Caenorhabditis elegans: one gene and its partner. The protein of the gene in region 1 interacts with the protein of each later gene in a pairwise test. Each region holds a gene or a part of one and is shown on either strand. Other genes may lie near its edges.

The links.
Region 2: the proteins of col-146 (region 1) and cdc-37 interact in a two-hybrid assay, tested with the Caenorhabditis elegans proteins (one large-scale study listed by BioGRID).

What each region holds. Positions count from the first base shown.
Region 1 is NC_003283.11:9,627,919-9,631,569, forward strand, and holds col-146 (Nematode cuticle collagen N-terminal domain-containing protein), read left to right. Parts: upstream 1-2,024; 5' UTR 2,025-2,038; coding exon 2,039-2,176; intron 2,177-2,307; coding exon 2,308-3,042; 3' UTR 3,043-3,094; downstream 3,095-3,651. Other genes in the region: T06E4.7 (G protein-coupled receptor), read left to right, coding at 48-225; idpc-3 (Intrinsically Disordered Protein, class C), read right to left, coding at 506-1,154, 1,235-1,254; T06E4.5 (Recep_L_domain domain-containing protein), read left to right, coding at 3,326-3,497, 3,546-3,651.
Region 2 is NC_003280.10:577,520-582,563, forward strand, and holds cdc-37 (Hsp90 chaperone protein kinase-targeting subunit), read right to left. Parts: upstream 3,075-5,044; coding exon 2,983-3,074; intron 2,374-2,982; coding exon 1,986-2,373; intron 1,940-1,985; coding exon 1,331-1,939; intron 1,196-1,330; exon of another isoform or gene 1,142-1,195; intron 691-1,141; coding exon 568-690; downstream 1-567. Other genes in the region: W08F4.7 (CW domain-containing protein), read right to left, coding at 111-213; W08F4.3 (Sigma non-opioid intracellular receptor 1), read left to right, coding at 3,102-3,237, 3,299-3,420, 3,473-3,722, 4,139-4,317; fbxb-14 (F-box associated domain-containing protein), read right to left, coding at 4,592-5,044.

The DNA of each region.
Region 1 (3,651 bases):
TCATTTGTAATCAGAGAGCAGTAATCGGATGCTTTATTGTTTTTCAGTAAATGGCAAGAGTTTCTACCAGCGTATTGCATGTCAATGGTTCCCGTTTTATCACCACTTTGCACAATTATATTCATTGAACCATACAGAAGAGCCATTTTGTCCTTTGTAACTTTGAAAGCATTACGAGGAACAATCAATAACTCAAACACCCAAAATCAAAATAATGATTCATAACTTTGACTTATTTGTAACTATTTTGTTATAGCAATTGTACTCTTTTTTAAACAGCAGTAATTTTTCAGTAATTCTTTTCAAAAAATTTGTGATAACTTAATTGAGACCTAATTTAATTGAGAGCGATCGTAATACTCAGGAACACTTAGCATGAAGATTTTAAATTGTAATTGTAAGTCGAAATAAATGTATTGTCATTAAATCGCAGAAGAATTTGAAAGGAAAACGTCGATCGGTATATACAGAAAATCAAAAATAATTAGAGCACGATGATTCGAACTTAAGCCTTGACGGTCTTGGCCTTGTTTCCTCCGATGAGGAAAGCAGAACGAGCAAATGGAGCATAGGCTGGGATGGCAGCTGGAACTGCTGGAGCAAAAGCTGGAATTGCTGGGGCAGCAAGCACTGGTCTTGGAGCAATAATTGGAGCTGGGGCGAAAGCTGGAATAGCTGGAGCTGCGAGAACTGGTCTTGGTGCAAGAAGTGGGGCCGGAGCAAAAGCTGGAATAGCTGGAGCAGCGAGAACCGGTCTTGGAGCAAGAATTGGAGCGGGTGCGAATGCTGGGGCAGCAAGGACTGGTCTTGGGGCAAAGGCTGAAACGATTGGAGCAACTGGTGGGACTGGTGGAGCCAAAAATGGAGCTGGAGCAGCCAAGACTGGAGCTGGTGGGGCAGCAAAAACTGGCGCTGGAGCAGCGAATGCTGGAGCTGCAGCAAGAACTGGTGCTGGTGGAGCCAAAAGTGGGGCTGGTGGAGCAAGAAGAGGAGCTGGGGCAGCCAAGACTGTTGGAGCAGCTGCGAGCACTGGTGCTGCGACTGGGGCAACTCCTGGAGCCAATACTGGCTTGGCAGCCACGTAGTATCTTCCCATGAATGGCCCGTTAACGGCGACTTGTGCGGAAGAAAGGGCAAGTCCAGCGAAGAGAAGGCTAGAGAATAAGAAGATAAGGTATTGCAAAGAAACCATTTGGAATGATTACTAAATTGTGAAAATAAAATAAAAACTCACGCAAAGACCGAGGAGCTCATGATGATTATTGGATTGCTGAAACCGTTCGAGGTGTGTGCTGTCTTTTCCGATTTTTGAGGCACCTTTAAATACAACAGAGGGCGGAGAGCTCAAAACCAGTCGACGTTGTTTCTTTTTCTCATTCGGTTGCGTCAAAAAACGTTTGACGGGACGGGAGCAAGAGGAGCTCGCGGGAGCAACTTTGTGTGGATCACCACCTCTATTCACAAAAAAACTTTTTTTCATGTGGTGTGCGCGGCAATGAACGGCGGGCGCCATCTCGCGTAATGGACACAAACAAATGGCGAGAAAAAGTTGATGTTTGCGAGAGTGGCGGCACCGGGGCACGGAAGATGCGGAAGCGTTCTTTTTGATGGTGGAGATGGGCAAATAGTAATTGAGAATGTGGCATACTGATTTGAGGAATTGCACTTTGAACATTTTGTGTTCGTTTTGATAGAAAAAATAAATAAATTTTAGACAAGCCTTCGATCTATGAACTTACATACATACTAGCAACGTTTTCAAGTATGTCTATCTAGAAAAAACGCCAAGTGTTTCTTATAATGATTTCTAACAATTGAGGAACCATTAACATTACGTCAAAAATACTTAAACCTATCTTGGTGTAAACATCTTCATCGAAAATACGGAAGTATGGGCATTCGATTATTACAACACCGGAGGGCAGACAAAGAAGCTGCAAGAACGCCGCCCACTCTAATGGGCAATTCAAGGTTGATTTCACTTGACCTTTATGGGTATAAAAACAATCAAATGCGTGGAAGAAGACACATCTCAGCAATGGTTAAGACTTTGGTAACAATCGCCAGCATTGGCAGCGGAGTTGCTGTTGTTGCTTGCCTCTTCACTGTTGGATACATCTTCAATGATATCAACTCTTTCCATGATGAGGTCATTGACACTATGACTGAGTTCAAAGTGAGTCCATAAGTTCATAGCTAGATGATACAAATACTTTTTCAAATCATGAACCACCAAGTCTTCTCTCAAATTCTTTTGTAGAATAAACCTGATTAAAAATGAATTTCACAACATTTTCAAAAATTTAGTTCAACGAGCAACAAGCATGGAACTCAATGATGAAGCCAACTGATGTATTCGGAAGAATCAAGCGTGGAATCAACAAGAGAGGAGCCCAATGCAACTGTGGAGCTCAATCCAATGGATGCCCAGCTGGACCACCAGGACCACCAGGACAACCAGGAGCTCAAGGAGAGGCTGGACACGCTGGAGAGGCTGGAAAGCCAGGAGCCAACGGAGTTACCATCGGACTTACCGGAGGAAATGGACCATGTATCACTTGCCCAGCTGGAGCCCCAGGACCAGCCGGAGCTCCTGGAGCACCAGGACCACAAGGACCATCTGGAGCCCCAGGACAAGACGCTGTTGGAGAAGGACCAGGACCAGCTGGACCACAAGGACCAGCCGGAGATGCCGGAGCTCCAGGACAAGCCGGAGCACCAGGACATCCAGGAGCCCCAGGACAAGGAGGACAACGCAGCCGTGGAACTCCAGGACCAGCTGGAGCTCCAGGACCACAAGGACCAGCCGGAGGACCAGGACAACCAGGACAATCCGGAGGAGCCGGAGCACCGGGACCAGCTGGAGCTCCAGGAGCACCAGGAGGACCAGGACAGCCGGGACAAGATGGACAGCCAGGAGCCCCAGGAAACGACGGAGCTCCAGGAGGAGACGCCGCTTATTGTCCATGCCCAGCTCGCTCTCAAGTTGTCAAGCACCGCAAAGTTATGGCTCACAGACGCCACGCTAAGATTGTTGCTTAAATTTGGACCATTTTGAAGTTTAACTTTCTCTCAATAAAAATGCATTTTCCAACTTGCTTCACTAAACTGTTAAAGTTGAAAATAGGTGAATCCCATCAATTTTATTTGCTGGAAAATATTTTTTTACATGCGGCAACAGACATCATCTCTCCAAAAAAATTGCCTTCAGTTTTCAAACAATACAATAATTTAAATATTTATTTACCAGGTTCACGTCAGAAGTTTAATCATAATATGCAGTGTACATGCAACGTTTTCAAAAATACATTTCATTATTTTTAGAATGGTTATTTATATGAAACGAAAACTTTTCGTATTCTTCATCACACTTGTTGCTTTTCTTGTTTGCAATGCTGGACAAAATGGAGAATGTATTGGTGGAACTGTTGAGGATATTCCTAATGATTGCGTAATTATCATTTCAAAACCATTAATTATCGCAGAAAAATCTCATGGCAAGTATTCAAAAATTTTCTTTTCTAATATAATTGTTTATATTTCAGAAAACATCCTTCGTTCAAAACTGGCCAAAGTTGAGAAAATTAAAGCCGGTCTTGAGATTTCAAATATTCGTTTTTCAATGTTTAACTATCTACAAAACACAGTATC
Region 2 (5,044 bases), on another chromosome or scaffold:
ACTCCCGCATTTTTTGTAGATCTACGTAGATCACGCCGAAATGGCACGTTATTGGGTCTGCTAAATCAAAATTTGAAGTTTGTAGGCTAGCAGACCCATCCTAGACTCACTTCCATACAAGCTCAATTGTGCCAAGGAAAATGGGACAAAAACTAGTAGAATAAGCCGCGAATTTACCATTTTCAGCCAAAAAATGACCGATAATACATCCATTATTGAACTTTATAGTTGTCAGGCGGAGACTAACGTTTGCTTACAAAACATCACTTTCAAAAAATCGTGAGAAAAAAAAACGAATAAACACAATAAGAAGAAAGTTGATGATGATAATCTTTATGCTATTCCGAATTGGAATTTTTGAATACGAAGTGGAACGATTCTCGAAGCAAAAAAAAACTTTTTTACAGGTGTTCGAGAGGGAAAATAAACAGTAAATGTCGTGGGGGGTGTAGAATAAATAAAGAAATAATTGGGCCATTTTCAGTGAATCTTGGGGAAAAAGTAAAGTGCGGTGCAGAAAAAACAAGTAGATCAGGGGAACTTTCAAACGGGGAATAATGGGGAAATTTAGGAGCTGGTTGTTGGCTCTTCCTCGGCTGGAGCAGCTTCCTCATCGTCGTCGTCGTCGTCAGCTTTTCCGGGCACCCAGAGTCCAGAGGCGATGCATCGATCGAAATGGTACTTGAAGACCTGAAAATTTGGATTTTTGGATGTTGAAATTAGATGAATTTGGCTAAAAATAATAGCCTACAAACTACTAATTTCGATTTAGCAGACCATAGGTGGTTTTGAAGAAATTTGGTCTGCTAGACTACAAACTACAAAACTCGATTTAGCAGACCAAAATTAAAAAATGCCTGTTTTCAGCTTAAAATTTTGATTTTTGATTCGTTTTTTTTTGGAATACAATGTTAATTCACTCAAAAATTTGAAAATAGATCAATTTTCCCCCGAAAGTTCAGATTTTTTCAGGATTTTATATTAAAATACGCACTTTTGTCTTAAAACACAAAAATCGCACAATTTTCCACTAAAAATCGCAAAAAACCTGAATTTTTGCTAATTTCTATTTGAAAAATATTCATTTTTCCGCTGAAAAATTGAAAATTTATCAATTTTTGCAATTTTCATTGCGAAAATTGAAAACTTTGGGTCTGCTAGTCTACAAACTACACATTTCGATTTAGCAGACCAATGCCATTTTGAAGAACCTTGGTCTGCTAGACTACAAACTACAAATTCCGATTTAGCAGACCAATGCCATTTGGAAGAAACTTGGTCTGCTAGACTACAAACTACAAATTTCAATTTAGCAGACCCAAATATTCACCTCTTCATCCATTTTCTGGGCGACACCCTTCAACGCCTCGATATCATGTGCCTCAAAGCACTTTCTCATCTCCTCCGGCAGCTGCTCGAACACTTCCTGTGGATCGATTCCTCCCGGAGCACTCTTCATTCGTTCGGCTTTCTCCTCGGCTTCAGCCTCCTCCATCGCGGCGTCTCTCTTCGTCTGCGCACGTGTTCTGAGACGATCCTCGAACGCCTTCACCTCATCCTGATAGTGCTTCATGTAGACCGGCTCGGCGGCTTCGAACTTCTTGAAGAATTGCTTCTGGACGGTGGTATTCGTGGCGACTGCGTTCAGCGATTTCGAGAGCTCCAGAAGATATTGAATGATGATGCATTGCTCAGCCATCGTCTTCATTTTCTCCTCATTAAAATCGATGGCGGCGTTGAGAGCCTCAATTGTGAGCCAATTTGCAGTGTACTCCGACGCCATATGCGGATGCTCGGCCAGGAACAGCTCCGTCGACTTGGCTCCGTTCTTGAGCACGGCCATCTTCTCCAGAAGGCTCTCGTGAGTCTCGAAGAAAGTGCTCATCGCATGAGTGTCCTCCTCATCGGTTTTGGGAGCTTGCGGCTTCTTCTCGGTGATCTGAAATTACAGAATTAATCAATTTGCACAGAAAAATCTTCAAAACCTTATTGATCCTCGACGTGCTGAACGCCTCATGACCGATCGTGTCGACGTTCCATGGCTCCAGACGCTCTTTCTCCTCGAGTTCGGCCTCCTTCTTGCGCCAGGCTTCTTCTTGCGCCTTCACCTCGTCGATTTGCTTCTGAATATCCGACTTGTCAGTGACATCGGCTGCGGCAAGCTTCTTCTCGAGCTCCTCCATCTTCTTGCTCGTCGTGCCCTTTTCCTTATCGATTTTCTCCTGTTCCATCTTCTTCTCGGCCATTCGCTCCAAACGAGCTTGATGGCGCCATCTGAAGAGCGACGGAGTGTCAATGTTCGGGTGAGTGTCGTCCTCGTCGTCGGAAACCTCGATATCCTTCCATTTGGAGTAGTCGATTGGCATTTTTGAGCTGAAAATCGAGAAAATTGAGTGGAAAATAAGGAATTAGCAGGAAAAGCGAGAGAAAACTGATAATCGCTGGAAAATTCCGACTCGGTTGCCACGACAACGAGGATAATCCGCGTGAAATTACGAAAACAGAAATTTCATGAAGAAAACGTGGCATTATAATGATGTTTCAAAGGATTTACGTGGAATTAACTATTTGCTGAGCAATTTTCGAGAAATTTCTTCAAAATTTCTCAAATAGAAATACTACGTTTTCTAGCGGATTTCGGCCTTTTTTTTGGCCCAAAACTCCGACAAATTGATTTTTAAAAGCCTGTAGAATTAAATTTAGACTTCTAAAAGTGGAAAAAATCGAAGGAAACCCCGAAAATAACATGAGAAAGGCGAAAAATGACTTTTGTTTTTCTTCTCGGTCCTTCTGTGGCAATGCGCGTCAGATATGGTGTTTTCTGTGTGCTTCTGCGTCACGGTGTTTGCACACAATTCCTTTTTCGCTGATTTTTTTAATTTTCAGCGCGCTGCAGCGCCATTTCTTGCATTTTTCAAGCATTTCCATTGATTTTTCCGCGAAAAAACATCTGAAATTTCAAAAAATCAATGTTAAACTCACAATTTTTCTTCTTCGCACTCGCTGTCCCTCTTGAAAACTCGCGAAATGACTGTATTTCCTTTTTTTTTCACGCAAAATTTCCAAATTTCCATGTTTTCAGGGTAGTTCAACACGTGAAAATGGCTCTTCTCACCTCAAAGCTTCGGTATCTTCTGCTCTTCTACGCAGTCTTCCAGGCTGCTCAATTTGGCCTCCGCTGGAAGTCTTATGACATCTCGCCGAAGCAGTTCAAGACTATCGCTGGAAAGGCTGCTGGTGAGGAAAAACATATTTTTCTGCGAAAATACCGCAATTTTAATATATTGTATATTTTCAGCTGCTCCAACAATCTCCCAGTCAATTTCCACATTGACGTCTGGAATGCGCACTTATTACGAGCCAATCATGCCAAGTCACTTCGAATGGCACGCTATTCAGTTGGGAGGCCTCACTTTAAGGGTGAGGAACAGGAAAAATCGAAAAAAAATCTTAAATTTAATGAATTTTCCAGATGTACCCAATGCTGACCGCTTTCACCGAGTTCGCCGCCGCCTTCTCCGCTCCGTTCCCAACTTCAGGACGCCCGGGGCTCCATTGGGCAAATACGACGTGCACCGTGTTGAAAGGAAAAGTCAGCCGATTCAATGACGGAACTCAGGACGAGACGTCGGAGAACTTTGCTTCGGGAGCCGCTTTCAGGCACGGACAGTTCGAGTCCCACGTGTACAGCTTCGAGAAGGACACCTACGTCGCGTGCTACGGTAAATTACACCGAAAATCAAGGAAAATTCGTTTTTTTTTGAGTCTGGCAGACCAATTTCGAATTAAAATCACCTGGGTCTGCTAAATATAATTTTGTAGTTTGTAGTCTAGCAGACCAATTTCGAAATCAAATCACTTGGTCTGCTAAATATAATTTTGTAGTTTGTAGTCTAGCAGACCAATTTCGAACTGAAATCGCATGGTCTGCTAAATACAGTTTTGTAGTTTGTAGTCTAGCAGACCAATTTCGAATTGAAATCACTTGGGTCTGCTAAATATAATTTTGTAGTTTGTAGTCTAGCAGACCAATTTCGAACTGAAATCGCTTGGTCTGCTAAATATAATTTTGTAGTTTGTAGTCAACCAGACCCATATAAAAATCCCCTCGTTTCTAATGAATTTTTATATTTTTCAGGTCGCGGCTTCCTCCCACTCTCCTCCACCGTCCACGTCACCTCTGGAATCTCACTCGGCGAGCCACTCTCGGTCATTCAATTCTACATGAAGCAGGCCTACAACTACTGGAACAACCTGAGCCACACCCTCTATCGTGTCTTCCAGCACTACAAGGCCCGCGCCACTGGAGAACTTTAAATAATTTATGTGATTCCCCATCCGGTGCATTTCTACAAGCATTCTAACCCGAAATTTTCATTTATTCAGTCATGTTTTATCCCAATGTCCCCCCTCTACTTCCATTTTTACGGTTGTGTAATTCGATTTCTTGAGCCATTTTATTGCATAATTTAAAATACAAGAACATATTTATTTCATCACCTCAACCATTTAACCATATAGCTCAACCGAAAAAAATAATTGCACAGGTATTTGAAGGCATTTGCAGTGAAAGATGATCAAAAGTCGCTGCTTACTCATCGTCGGCCAGCCGGACGAATCGAACAGTAGTTCTGGTGAGGGAAACCTTTGCCTTGATCCCTCTTTTGCACACAATTTGGACGTGTTGAACCATTCCATCATCCACGACCAGAGGATCTTCGTATCTAGTAAAGTCTATTCCGCGGAGAATAGTTCCATGTACAGGATGCTCAATATTCAGACCATCTACAACAAGATCACTGATTCTCAGCTGTGAGTTCTGAATCCAGATCTTCAAGAACAAGTTGACATCCTTTGCAGTCATTGAGTGGTGCAATGAACGAAGCGTTCGACTATTTGACAAGAACACCTCGTTCAGTGTGAGATTGGTGACTTTCAGCTCCTCATAATTTTGAACCAAGAGTTCTTTTCTTATTGGGACCACGACAATCTCCAGGTTCTCTGGATGAGTCCCGAAGAGATGGTGCCCCTGAACTTCCGTGGA